Sus scrofa: one gene and its partner. The protein of the gene in region 1 binds, or shares a complex with, the protein of each later gene. Links are inferred from orthologs where the notes say so. Each region holds a gene or a part of one and is shown on either strand. Other genes may lie near its edges.

Region 1 (6,827 bases):
ATGCAGGTTCCATCCCTGGCCTCCATCAGTGGCTTAAGGATCCTGCGCTGCTGTGGCTGTGGTGTAGGCTGGCAGCTCCAGCTCCAATTCGACCCCTAGCCAGGGAACCTTCAAGTGCCGCGGGTGTGGCCCTAAAAAAGAAAAAAAGAAAAAAAAAAAAAAAAGGCGAGGCGAGCTTGTAGCATCCTTTATACCGTAAGCAAGGAAGCTCATCAAGGGTCCTGTCAGACCCCGGAGCTAGATGGCAGCTGGCCATTCAGCCAAAACTCATCACAAGCGTGTTAACATCTACGGGGACATAAGGACACTTCAAAACAATCGAGTACCTCTGGAGGAAGTACTGAAAATTCATTCTGAAAATCGGGAAAGGGAAGGCATCAAGCATTTATTCTCCCTTCCTGTACAAACTGCACCTCCGAATAACCTACTGGTTGATGGGGGGACGTTCTTTTTTATAGACGAATTCCTCTCTCTCTCAAAAAAAGTGGCGCTCGCTGTTTTGCTGTCCCCAGCGAACTGTCAGGACCAGGCAGTGATCCTCGGGGGCTGCTGCAAGTCATATGTGAAAGGCTGATGGGGCGCTTTATACGGGATGGATCAGGCTGACCATACCCGGACCTAGGGTTCCTCTTACCTCACCCCAAAGACAACCAGACGTTATCACATCCCGTGGGGATGCAGAAAGCAGGCAGCACCACCTGTGACATATTCTTGCCAGAAATTGAACTTGAGTCTCTATGCCAATAACCCGTTCACAGGAGACACGGAACAGAGGCTCAGTTAACACCCCAGGGGCAGGGATGTGAGCAGTGAGGTACCTCTTAGAGTGACCCAGTTTTTTCCAGCAAATGAATGGCCAAGAGGGGGAAAGGGACAGGGAGAGGAATTTTGTAGGTGAAGTTTGAGAGATGCTGCAACCAAACGAAGCCCCCCAAAGCTTGCTATTAACATTCCCCTTGACCTCCTGTTCCCTGGCACATCCCTTTCATATCCACTGTCCACGTCACCTATGAATTCCTGCCCCCTGACGTTGCTGTGATCTGCTGTCCCCTTCACCAGCCACGCCAGCCTAGTTTCTCTGACTCCCTTCCCCTGAGTCTGGCACTGCGGGTGCCCCAGGGTGGCGCCGGGGCTGATGGGTGCCGTCTCCCTCCGTGTTTTTCCATCTCACCCTTTCGCCCACGGCTTCCCTTAGCTTATTCCCAGCACCTGGACAACGAGATCAGCCACAGCAGCTACCTGGGCACCGACTACCCCACAGCCATGACCCCCACCTCCCCTCGGCGCTACTCCCCCGTGGCCAAGGACCTGCTCGGGGAGGAGGACATTCCCCGGGAACCGAGGCGGATCGTGATTCACCGGGGCTCCACGGGCCTGGGCTTCAACATTGTGGGCGGCGAGGACGGTGAAGGCATCTTCATCTCCTTCATTCTGGCCGGGGGCCCGGCGGACCTCAGCGGCGAGCTGCGGAAGGGGGACCAGATCCTCTCGGTGAGCGAAGGCCGGGCCGGCCCGTGCCCTCCTCCCCCGCCAACCCACCCGTCGGGGCCCTCGTGGGCCGGCGCCTGGTCCCCACCTCCAGCGCCTCTGCCGCTCCTCCTCCCTTAGGTCAATGGCGTTGACCTCCGCAATGCCAGCCACGAGCAGGCTGCCATTGCCCTGAAGAACGCGGGGCAGACCGTCACCATCATCGCGCAGTATAAGCCAGAAGGTACCGCGCCTGCCGCTCCCCCGTCTCTTGTGGGGTGAGATGGTCCTCAGAGCCCTGGGGCTCCTGGGGTCCGTGGGGGGCGGGGAGGGGCGAGGACCGTGGGGCCGGGGCTCAGGAACCTTCTTGGCCTTTCGTAGAGTACAGCCGATTCGAGGCCAAGATCCACGACCTTCGGGAGCAGCTCATGAACAGCAGCCTGGGCTCAGGGACTGCCTCCCTGCGGAGCAACCCCAAAAGGGGTTTCTACATCAGGTCAGACGCCCCCCGCCCGGGCTGGGTTCTTCTCATTCTGTGCCCCCCTCACCCCCCAGCCAGCTCGTCCCCGAAACCCTGCCTGACGCCCCCATCCCCAGGCCTGACACTCAGCTGGCTTCCCGCGCGGGTTAGCATTTTGCAACACGCCAAGCGGTTGGAAAACAGCCTTGGCTCAGGTGTCCCTACCGCCTCCCAGCCCCTGGGCCCCCTGGCACCTCCCCTAGGACGCCCAGCTGCCTCCCACTCTGCTCACTCAGAGGTTAACACGCAGCAGAGCAGGGGCTCTTGTCCTCCCAGCCCTGTGGGAGGACACAGTCCAGGGGAGGGGACCACAGCACTGTCCCCCGTCTCTCCGGTGACCTTCCGCTACCTTCTTAGAGCTGCTCCGCCCGCGGGCTGCTCTTTCTCATCCTCATCAGGTGCAGGCGCCGCATCCTCCCCCCTCCCCCCTGGGCTCCCATCCTCCCCCTTCGGCCTCACCTGTCACTTGCCCTGCAGATGGCCCTCAAGACTGTCGGCTCTGGCCTGGCCTCTTCCCGGAGGTCCAGACCTGCGGTTCCGGCCATCTGCTTTCTGGACATGTCCCTCAGGACGTCCCACAGGCGTTCGCACTCAACACGTCCCAAACTGAGCCTCACCTCTTTCCCCTGTACGCTCGGTCCTGCCAGTGTGTGTTCTCTCTCTGAATGGCACTGCCATCCGCCCGGGCACCTGGGACAAACCAGAGCCTGCTGGAGTTCCTCTGTGGTCCAGCGGGTTGAGGAACTGGTGTTATCACCGCAGCGGCTCGGGTTGCTGCTGTGCCACGGCTTCGATCCCTGGCCTGGGAACTTGCCCATGCCCCGGGTGCAGCCGAACAAAACAAAACAAAACACCCCCACAAAAAACACCTAGGCCTTGCTTGGCCCTCCCCTCATGGCGAGGTCCAGTTTGCCCCTGGGGCTGGTCACTTCTGACTCCCAGACGATGCTGGATGATCCTGGAGTCTCCTCCCGTCTTTCTAGCCCCCGTGCTCGCTCAGCATCTCTGCTGTCTCGGCTGTCGTTCCCTCCCTCTGTCCTGACCCCAGGGGTTGTGACTTTGAGGAATTTCTCATGGCTGAGGGTGCCCAGAGTTTGTCAAGAGCGATCTTTTTTTTTCCCTTGTGAGTTTGATTCCAGCGTCCTCCGCGCTGTGAGGCCCATGCATATTGCATCTGCTTTCTTGGGCAGGTGCTGGTCTAGACCTTCCTCTAGAAACGTCACTGAGTCCACAGCCTGATCCCCGACACAACGTGGACTGGATGACGGTTCACCGTTGTGGCGATTATGAGTTTTGGTAGAGCTTCTGGTCCCCACGCTGTTCTTGGGTCCCTCAGAATCCACGGCACCTGTGGGAGAGCCGGCAGCAGCCCTGCTTGTCTATAGGCCCCTGGGCAGCACCTCCAGGATGGGTCTCAGGGGCCAGGGTCCCCACCGGTCTCTGACCGAAGGCCGTGTGCCCTCCAGGGCCCTGTTTGACTACGACAAGACCAAGGACTGCGGCTTCCTGAGCCAGGCCCTGAGCTTCCGCTTTGGGGACGTATTGCATGTCATCGACGCCAGTGACGAGGAGTGGTGGCAGGCGCGGCGGGTCCACTCTGACAGCGAGACCGATGACATTGGCTTTATCCCCAGCAAACGACGGTGAGCCTTCCTGCCACTGAAGCTCACAAGGTCCCCAGGCTGGGCAGCCAGGATGGAGGCCATGGGCCCTCTGACTTCTTGGGGGTCTGTCTGCGGGGGGTGGGGGTGGGGGCAGGGCGTCATGACTCCCATGAGCCTTAGGGGCAGACAGCTCCCTTAGGAGCGCAGACGCCCAGGGGCTGCTGGGAGATGGGGCTGTCCGCCGGCCTAGGGGGCCATCGGGCCCCTGCCTGGGCATTTCTCTACCCCATCCATCCCACATGTATCCCACAGGGTTGAGCGACGGGAGTGGTCAAGGTTAAAGGCCAAGGTACGTGGAGGAGGCCGTGAGCTTGGGCGGAAGAGGGGGGTGGCTTGTAGGGCCGGACTCCTGACCAACTGCACGGCCTGCTCTTTCTTCCTAGGATTGGGGCTCCAGCTCCGGATCACAGGGTAGGTGGGCCGGTTTGGGAGGAGCTGAGGTGAGAGGGCTCCGAGTGTCTCGTGACATCCTCAGGAAGGTGGCGCGGGGCCCTGAGTCCCCTGCCTCGGAGCCCCTTGCAGACGCCCTGCCTCCCGCTAGGTCGAGAAGACTCGGTTCTGAGCTACGAGACGGTGACACAGATGGAAGGTGAGCCCCGGGCCGCCCCTGCACAGCCCCTCCCGCCCCCACCCAGCCCCCCCTGATCCCGCCCTCTGTCGTCAGTGCACTACGCTCGCCCCATCATCATCCTCGGGCCCACCAAGGACCGCGCCAACGACGATCTCCTCTCCGAGTTCCCCGACAAGTTTGGATCCTGTGTCCCTCGTGAGTGCCCAGGCCTGGGATGGAGGGGCTGGGGGCGGGGCCCAGGGGTCCCAGGCAGAGCCCCTTCTGGGCATTGATTGGGGTGCAGCTGGACATGAGGATTCTCGGAGAAGGGCGCTTCTCAAGTCACCCTCACGTCCTGGGCTGACCATCCCAGGGCAGGGATTTGGAGGACTCGGCGGTGGTGGTGTGGGGGGGAGGCAGCTCTGCCCCCCTCGGCCGGCATCTGGGGCTGCGCCGAAGGCAGGGCTGAAGCTAGACGGATGGCGGTTAGCTCTTTGGGGGCTGGGGTGACTTCCCGGCAGATACGACACGGCCCAAGCGGGAGTATGAGATAGATGGCCGGGATTACCACTTTGTGTCGTCCCGGGAGAAAATGGAGAAGGACATCCAGGCACACAAGTTCATCGAGGCCGGCCAGTACAACAGCCACCTGTATGGAACCAGCGTCCAGTCCGTGCGAGAGGTGGCAGAGCAGGTAGGAGCCGGCGGCCCGTCCTCTTCCTCCTCCCTCTCCCTGCCCTGTGGCCTTCCTCCAGCTGTCTCTAACTCTCTCTCTCTCTCTGTCTGTCTCTTTCCCTGCTGGGTCTCCGCTCCGCTCCTCCACCTCCTCCTCCTCCTGGGCAACTCTGTCGCCTGCCTGCTTTCCCGGGCCCCGCCCCCGCCTCCCTCCCTCGGTTCCTGACCCCAAACTCCGTGCTGCCATCTGTCCCCTCCCCTCCCCTCCTCCTTGCCCCATTTTTGCCTCTCCTCCTGTGGCCTCGGCCTTGATGGCCCGGCCTCCCCCCTCTGGGCCCTCCCTTCTGCCGGCTCCCCTCGGGTCCTCTCCCCTCCCCCTGCCCGTCCCTGGGGTCCCGGCTCCCGTCTCCCACTCCTCTGCCACCTCCTTCTTCCCCATGCCCCCACCCTGCCCTCTCTCCCTCCACGGCTTCTTTCTCCATCTGCCTCTCCTCCCTCCATCTGCTTCTCCTTGTTCCTTCCATCTGTCTGTCCTCTGTCCGTCCTCCCGGCCCTCCTCCCTCCACCCCACTTCCCTTCTCCTTCTGGGCTTTCTCCCCAACCTGTCGACGCCACCCCGCTCTTGCCTTGCTCTGCCCCATCTTTTGGGTCCCCTCCCTGCCTGTTCCTCACCCCTCTGCCCATTCCCCCAATCCCTCCCTCCTGTGCTGGCCCCTCCCTTGCTCTCTGTCTGCCGGCCTCCTTTTCTGTCCCTCACTCTGTCTGTCTGTACCTTTCTTGCCTCAACTTTCTCTGCCCACGTGTCTTTCGACATCCATGTCATTTCCCTTTTGGTGAATCTGCCGTTCCCCACCTTCTGGCATACTGTGTCCTGTCCTGGCACCTCTGTCTGTCCTTTCCCACCACCTGCTGGCCCCCCTCCGCCCGCCCTGCCCGCCCCCCAGGGGAAGCACTGCATCCTCGACGTCTCGGCCAATGCCGTGCGGCGGCTGCAGGCGGCCCACCTGCATCCTATCGCCATCTTCATCCGCCCCCGCTCCCTGGAGAATGTTCTGTGAGTATGGTCCCGGGGGGGCCTCCCCTCTGCTCCCCGCACCTGTGGCCCTGGGCCTCAGAAGGCCTCTGCGTTGAACTCTTCCCTCAGAACCCTGGACAGTGGCTCCAGCAGCCCTTGAGGGGGGTCTGCACCTGGAGTTGGCACCCAGAGGATGCAGGGACTCCCAGGCCTCTTTCTGCCTCCCTGCCCTGGTCTAGGCAGGACTACAACTCCCAGCAACCCCTGGGGCACACACCTGCTGGGGCGAGCCAGGGCCTCTGGGCTTTCGGGAGTTAGAGGCTGAATCCCTTCACTGGGGTGCGGGCTGGAAGGAGGAGGTGCTGGAGAGGTCCCTGAAGTGGCCACACCTGGCTGGGGTGGGTCACGGGGAGGGGGCCTATCTGTGGCCCCAGAGGATCTTGGAAGTTGTGCTCTTGGCATCAAGCTCCAACTAGGAAAATACGGGTTGCAGAGTTCCCGTTGTGGTGCAGGGGAAACGAATCCGATTAGTATCCATGAGGATGCGGGTTTGATCCCTGGCCTTGCTTGAGGTGTTGCCGTGAGCTGTGGTGTAGGTCAGTGATGCGGCTCAGATCCCGAGTTGCTGTGGCTGTGGTGTAGGCTGGCAGCTACAGCTCCAATTCGACCCTAGCCTGGAAACTTCCATGTATCTCCAGTGCGGCCCTAAAAAGCAAAAAAAAAAAAAAAAAAAAAAAAAAAAACGGAAAGGAAAAGAAAAGAAAATAGGGCTGCGACTTAACATCCCTGGATGGAGGAGACGGAGGGCTGAGGGACCACCCTGAGGTCTGTGTGGCTCTTGCTCCGCAGAGAGATCAATAAGCGGATCACAGAGGAGCAAGCCCGCAAAGCCTTCGACAGAGCCTCCAAACTGGAGCAGGAATTCACAGAGTGCTT
Region 2 (6,827 bases), on another chromosome or scaffold:
CCATATACCAAAGTGTAGAGCTGCCTTAAAGAGCACCACATTATTCTGGTATGAAATTAAACAATCACATAGAATTTTTTCCATTCTATTAAGAGAAGCAAGGGGAGCATTCACCTCTTCTAATAATGCCCATTGCCACATGCCATCTAAACATTCTGTAGATTTAAAATGTACTCAGACTTTTAAATCAAATTATCATTTTGTTTACCTACTAAAAATGTCAGATTATATTTTCATTAAAAATTTAGTAGCAATGAATAAGTTATTTGAATTGTTCAGAGAGAAATTGTGTTTTTTTGTACATATTTTATGAGACTCCTGTGGGCTTAATAACAATTAACATAAGCTTTAGGAACAAGGCCTATATTACTCCTCTTTTGTAAAAAGACTGTATGTTTTTCATGGAGCATGTAAATGTTAGAAATTAGGTTTCACTAGAATACAGCCAATTCTTGATTACAATACTGTAGGAATAGGATTAACTGCAATAAAAATCATAACAGTTTTCTCATAAGTAGTGCTTAATAAGAATTTATTAAATTGAATTGAATTGAAACCAGGAAACTGAAGTAAAAACTCTTTCAGGAGTTTCCCAATACCATTACTTTATTTACTAATTTACAATAGATATATTTTGCTACTACACGATTCCTCTATAATTCAGTATTTTTTCATGGACTCTTTAATAAAAATAAAAATAGGTTTGACTAGTAGAGGTAAGCAAGATGAATGTTTTAAGTGATTTTCTAAGATACTCAACTTATAAAATTCGTAATTGGACATAGTTTTTCATGTACTTTTGTTATGTACAATTTTATCTTGCATTCTTTTATCATTTTTATATAAAACGAAAAGATTTAGATGATTTCACAATTTACTTAGAAAAAGTTTCACTGCATATTCTGTGAGGAATGTATTATCTAGGCTTAAGAATAAATATATATGTGTTTCTACAACTGACAATTGGAGATCCAGCATATTATTGTGAGCATAAAGTTTTGTGTGACTACTTGAAATGATCATCAACTAATTTAAACCAGAATTTTTTTTAATACTTTTTTTTTTTTTTGTCTTTTTCTAGGGTCACACCATGGCATATGGAGGGTCCCAGGCTAGGGGTCTAATCGGAGCTGTAGCCACCAGCCTACACCAGAGCCACAGCAACACAGGATCCGAGCCACGTCTGCGACCTACACCACAGATCACAGCAACACCGGATCTTTAACCCACTGAGCAAAGCCAGGGGTTGAACCTGCAACCTCATGGTTCCTAGGCACTGTACCTCAACGGGAACTCCAGAATTTTTTTTTTTTTAATGTCAGAAGAACATGTTTTTCATCAGTTAGGCCAGAAAAGAAAGACCTTTGATTTAAAGTTACTATTTGAGTCCAGTTCTATATAAGTACCTTCTTAAATTAAAACCAGGACTTAAATTCTTGATCAATTTTGAAGTACATTGCATTAGGGCATTGCTACCATAAAATACTTTAACTTTGAAGGCAGAAAGAAGGTAAGCTTCAACACTTATTGAGTGCCTTATATGACAAAGGTCTTATTTTGAGGACTTTACATATATCATTCAATTTTCACAACAATAATGTGGTAAAGATCACTCTCATTGTACAGATGAGGAAATTGATGTTCTGAGAGGTTAAGTGACTGGTCAAAAAAAAAAAAATCATTGAAGTCGTACAGCCAGGACCTTGGCCATATGCCAAATGCAACAAATATGGTGATGGAATAATCAAAGCTGAAAGCAAATAACATGCTTCTTTTTATTTGGTTCTTTCTTTCTTTTTTTTTTTTTGTCTTTTTAGGGGTGCACCCGCGGCATATGGAGGTTCCCAGGCTAGGGGTCGAATCAGAGCTGTAGCAACAGGATCCAAGCCGTGTCTGTGACCTACACCACAGCTCATGGCAACACTGGATCCTTAACCCACTGAGCAAGCCAAGGATCAGGTCTTCGTCCTCATGGATGCTAGTCAGATTTGTTTTCACTGAGCCATGACAGGAACTCCTGGTCCTTTATTTATAAATTTTCTATTCTTAATCACAGAATAATTATGATATAGATTTTTGAACCATATGTTATTTTAGCTTATTTTTATGTCTCAGGGAAAAATACATCCAGCAACTAAAAGAATTTAATAATTACTTCTCATTATTTGAAAAAAAAATTACTGTGTATGTCTCCCCACAAAATGTTGCTTAGGATAACAATAGCTTTGACTAATGAGGAAGTAGTATTAGGCTAAATGTCTGAAGTATTAGTTTTTATGTCTTGAAGAATAATAAAGTAAAAATATTTTTTATAATTTCTCCATTATCTTAGAAAACATATAGTATATTAACAAGTATTAAGAGAGATAATTTTTAAATATGGTAGAAAATTATGATATTCTTACTTAAGTTTAAATAATGCCAATACATTTTCAGGTTTAGTGTTACAGTTTTGGATCAGAAAGTATGTATGGTGTAGGGAGTTCCTATTGTGGCACAGAAGAATTGAACCCAACTAGGATCCATGAGGATGTGGGTTAGCTCCCTGGCCTCACTCAGTGGGTTAAGGATCCGGCATTACTGTGAACTGTGGTGTAAGGTCACAGACACAGCTTGGATCCCATGTTGCTGTGGTGTAGGCTGGCAGCTGTAGTATCAATTCCGACCCCTAGCCTGGAAACTTCCATATGCTCTGGGTTTGGCCCTAAAAAGCAAAAAAAAAAAAAAAAAAGTATGGGTTGTGTGTGTGTGTGTGTGTGTGTGTGCGCACACGCATGTGCACACAGGTGTGTATAATGTTATAGATACAATTATAATAATCATAATCATCTAGTTTTACTACTGCATTTCTTTGATGATTGATACACACATACATTTTCCCTGTAAAGATATAATATTTTTAGTTGAAAAAACAAGTGAATGAGATAATGAAATAATATTTACATGGAGAACTCAATGTCAGGAGCTATAGTAAATGACATTTTCAATACTTCCGATGGTGGATGCTTTGTAATGTCATCTGTTCCATCTCCTCATCCAATTTTCTTTCACAGAAAATTGGTTTGCACCTATTGTAGCAGTAGAGGAAATTTTCTCCTCTCTAAATAATATTAGGGTTTAACAACCAGTACATATAGTGTACTTGTTGCTTAATATTCATTAAATAAACATTACTGAACATAGAATATACATAAGACAGTCATTCACAGATAATAATTCTTACTTTTAAGCAGTAAATATTGAATGTGCTTGTCTATTTTATTAAGGAAAATAAATGTTGGTTTTATTAGACACTTACACTAATGTACGTAACCTAAATAAATCTCATATCACCATCAGGGGAAATTAATTAGTGATATGAAAAACATAACCATGTTCTCCTCTCTTACATTAGTCATTTGGCCTGAAATTCCTACTAGGAGAATCTACACAAGTACCATCAAGAGAAATGTACATTTTAAAATGACTTAAGTGGAGTTCCCGTTGTGGCGCAGTGGTTAACGAATCCGACCAGGAACCATGAGGTTGCGGGTTCGGTCCCTGCCCTTGCTCAGTGGGTTAACGATCCGGCATTGCCGTGAGCTGTGGTGTAGGTTGCAGACGCGGCTCGGATCCACCGTTGCTGTGTCTCTGGCGTAGGCTGGTGACTACAGCTCCGATTCGACCCCTAGCCCGGGAACCTCCATATGCCGTGGGAGCGGCCCAAAGAAATAGCAAAAAAAGACAAAAAAAAATAATAATAATAAAATAAAATTACTTGAGATTTCGTTTCTAGCATAGGATAGCAACAACTCATAGGAATTAATTACCATAAATCATTTTCTAGCCTAGAATAGAAAACCTAGAATAGAAATGGAGAGAGGGTCAGGTAGAAGGAAAGTTGAAAGCACAAATATTAACTGTGTTTTCAGATTAATTGCATAGAGTAAAAGTCTAAAACACAGGCTTTGAAAATCACTGGACCCGAGTACAGACCCCGCCTCTGCAATTTACTGGGTGTGTTGCCTTAAGAAAGTTACTTAACTTCTCTGAACCTCAGTCTCTCCATATACATAATAGCTATAAATCGATACTGACCTCCTGAGGACATTGTATGAGATTATATATATATATATGTGTGTGTATATATATATATATATGTGTGTATATATATATATATATGTGTGTGTGTGTGTATATATATATATATATATATGTGTGTGTATATATATATATATTGCCATAAGCTAAGTGCCTGACTCATATTTAGTACTCAGTGAAAGTTAGTACTCTGGGGACAGGAGGAAGAAATGCTGAAGTTTAACTAAGAGGGTAGAAATGATGTTGATAATAATAATGATTGTTAAAGGAAAAGCAGTTGTTTTATATAAATAATTTATTAGGTACAACAATACAGTATATACCTGATCTTTTTTTTTTTCTTAATTTTCAGTGTGCACCTGATTGGCCTATTGGTTTGGCAATGTGATATTTCTGTGAGCCCAGTAGCAGCTATAGTAACTGACATTTTCAATACCTCCGATGGTGGACGCTTCAAATTCCCAGACGGGGTACAAAACTGGCCAGCACTTTCAATCGTCATAATAATAATCTTGACAATAGGTGGCAACATTCTCGTCATCATGGCAGTAAGCTTGGAAAAGAAACTTCACAATGCCACCAATTACTTCTTAATGTCCCTAGCCATTGCTGATATGCTAGTGGGACTACTTGTCATGCCACTGTCTCTGCTTGCAATCCTTTATGGTAAGTACAATTTTGTTAGTTTTTATTTTATTTTTTTATTAGTTTTTAAATCTCAGGTGGTGTCATAAATTTGTATCAGGTATCATAGTGAACATTCATAAATTTATTCTACTGTAGCATTTGAAAAATGAAGGAAAAAGAAAATTGTGTGACAGAGGTAATTGAATGTGCGCATCATATTTATTATGTAAATCAGTAGCAGAGTCTTCCAAAAGCAAAACAAAGGCTTTATAATATATTAAAGTTAGATGTAGATACTCTATTGCTCAGTGTCATTTCTAAACAAAAGTTGCCCTCCAATGTACAGACTGTGACTGTAAGAGAAACACATTCCTACCCCTACATTCTGGGCTGTACACATACCTAGTACCATCTTTTATATAAAGAAGATAAAACAAGCTCATTATCTTTACTAAACATATTTTAAGTAATTTTCTTCAATGTTAGCAAACTAAGTGCTTGGCACATAATAAGCACTTAACAGCTATTCTTCTTATTCCTATTCATGTTTTTACAAGGAGACAGGGATAACAAACTGATTATTAATTATATTAAGTACAAATTCATATTATCACAGTAAAAATTCAAGCATTGAAGGTTTTGATATATGATTTTAGAGAGGGTTTTTTTTTAATTTTCTGCCATCTCTCTGTCCTATTTATTTTAACCTAACTTGTTTCTAGTTAATATTTATAAAGAACAGTCAAAACCACTGAAACTAAACTACAAAGTATCTTTGTTGGGAAGTTGGAGAACTCAGTTTGAATGCTCATTTTATAAGGGAGTGAAAAAAACCCCCTGTTCCCTGGAGTGTGTAATGGGATTAGATTGGAAGGATTAATACTGAAAGTGTATCAAGTTCTCAAATCCTAAAAGAAGATCATTGAACCTAGGAATAATCTCTTGTGGAGCTTAAAAATTAATTATCCTATTCTAAATACACAGTGGTAATAGATCATCTCAACAGGCATTTTATAAATAGTATTCTCAGGAAATATGCTTTTCTTACTATTGAGTTTCAGTGATGCATTAATCTCAAAATGTAAGTATTTGACCTTCTCTGTGAGTATTTTATTCTAGCCCCAAATTATATATGAAAAGGTCACTGCAATGAATATGCCTTAGAAGGTATACTTTGTCTTGTGGTGTCTATTTCATTTTGCCAGTTTCTCTCTTAAAAATATATGGGTGGTCAAAAAAATGGCATCAGTCTAAATCCAAATCTCTTAACACATCCATCGTCCCCGTGACAAGCAGTAAAGAACAACAAAAACGAATAAAACTATACAATACCACTACCAAATTTGGATGACATCCAAATCAAATTCCAAATTATCTGTAAGCAGAAAAATAAATAGATGATCACAATGAGCTATCTATTAGGCTCCCACCACATGCTGTTGTGTAGAGGAAGGGCAGTCTAGGAAATACTACAATGAAAGAGAGAGGAGGAAAGCTAGTAGGAAGCCTAAGACTGATCTAAAATCATCATAAGAAAGCCTATCCCAGTGTGAAAATTCTAAAAAAAACTTCTCTGGAAGCTTAGCCTTTAGGCAAGTGCCTAGAAGTGTGTGTAGGACTCAAGAAAGCAACGTTGGAGAAGGAACTCTTTGGAGGTAAAAAAAAAAGATTAAAGGGAGAGGTAACTTTTGAACAAAAAAATGCACAGTGAAGGGGAAAAGAGACAAGAAGGGAAATTTTATCATCTTACAAGACAAAAAAAATGTCAACATGTAAGAATCCATCAAACTTCCCTCCCACTGCCCTCCCCTGTACCCCAAAATCCTCCAATAAAAAAACATACTTGGTTATGTGAAGATAAGAGGATGTTCTTGAGCTTGGAATCTTGGAAACCACCCACAAACTGCTCGCGATGGTCATATAAATTAAAAAATGCAACCAATCCTCATCCATATAAAGCAGAACATGAAAATCAAAAAAAAGGCATTTGATTAAAATTCCCACAAATAAAGAATGATTGAAAAATAAAGCTATAACAAAATACTCCAAGAGAAATTTTCTAAAACATTTAAAGATATATTTTTTTAAAAAAATATCTTATAGTAGAAGTCTAAAAGCTA

Evidence for each region.
Region 2: the proteins of DLG4 (region 1) and HTR2C are in contact, whole or in part, in an NMR structure (PDB 2MHO), measured with the Rattus norvegicus proteins. The link is inferred for Sus scrofa from reciprocal best matches to the Homo sapiens genes DLG4 and HTR2C. Residues at the interface, in NP_062567.1 of Rattus norvegicus: Gly74, Leu75, Phe77, Ser78, Ile79, Ala80, Asn85, Pro86, His87, Ile88, Thr97, Lys98, His130, Val134, Leu137, Lys138; in NP_036897.2 of Rattus norvegicus: Val452, Val453, Ser454, Glu455, Arg456, Ile457, Ser459, Val460.

What each region holds. Positions count from the first base shown.
Region 1 is NC_010454.4:52,551,278-52,558,104, reverse strand, and holds part of DLG4 (disks large homolog 4), read left to right. Parts: intron 1-1,195; coding exon 1,196-1,491; intron 1,492-1,608; coding exon 1,609-1,711; intron 1,712-1,848; coding exon 1,849-1,963; intron 1,964-3,453; coding exon 3,454-3,630; intron 3,631-3,903; coding exon 3,904-3,940; intron 3,941-4,034; coding exon 4,035-4,062; intron 4,063-4,192; coding exon 4,193-4,240; intron 4,241-4,315; coding exon 4,316-4,417; intron 4,418-4,722; coding exon 4,723-4,895; intron 4,896-5,820; coding exon 5,821-5,930; intron 5,931-6,740; coding exon 6,741-6,827. UniProt on the Homo sapiens protein: Postsynaptic scaffolding protein that plays a critical role in synaptogenesis and synaptic plasticity by providing a platform for the postsynaptic clustering of crucial synaptic proteins.
Region 2 is NC_010461.5:94,190,753-94,197,579, forward strand, and holds part of HTR2C (5-hydroxytryptamine (serotonin) receptor 2C, G protein-coupled), read left to right. Parts: intron 1-4,432; coding exon 4,433-4,746; intron 4,747-6,827. UniProt on the Homo sapiens protein: G-protein coupled receptor for 5-hydroxytryptamine (serotonin).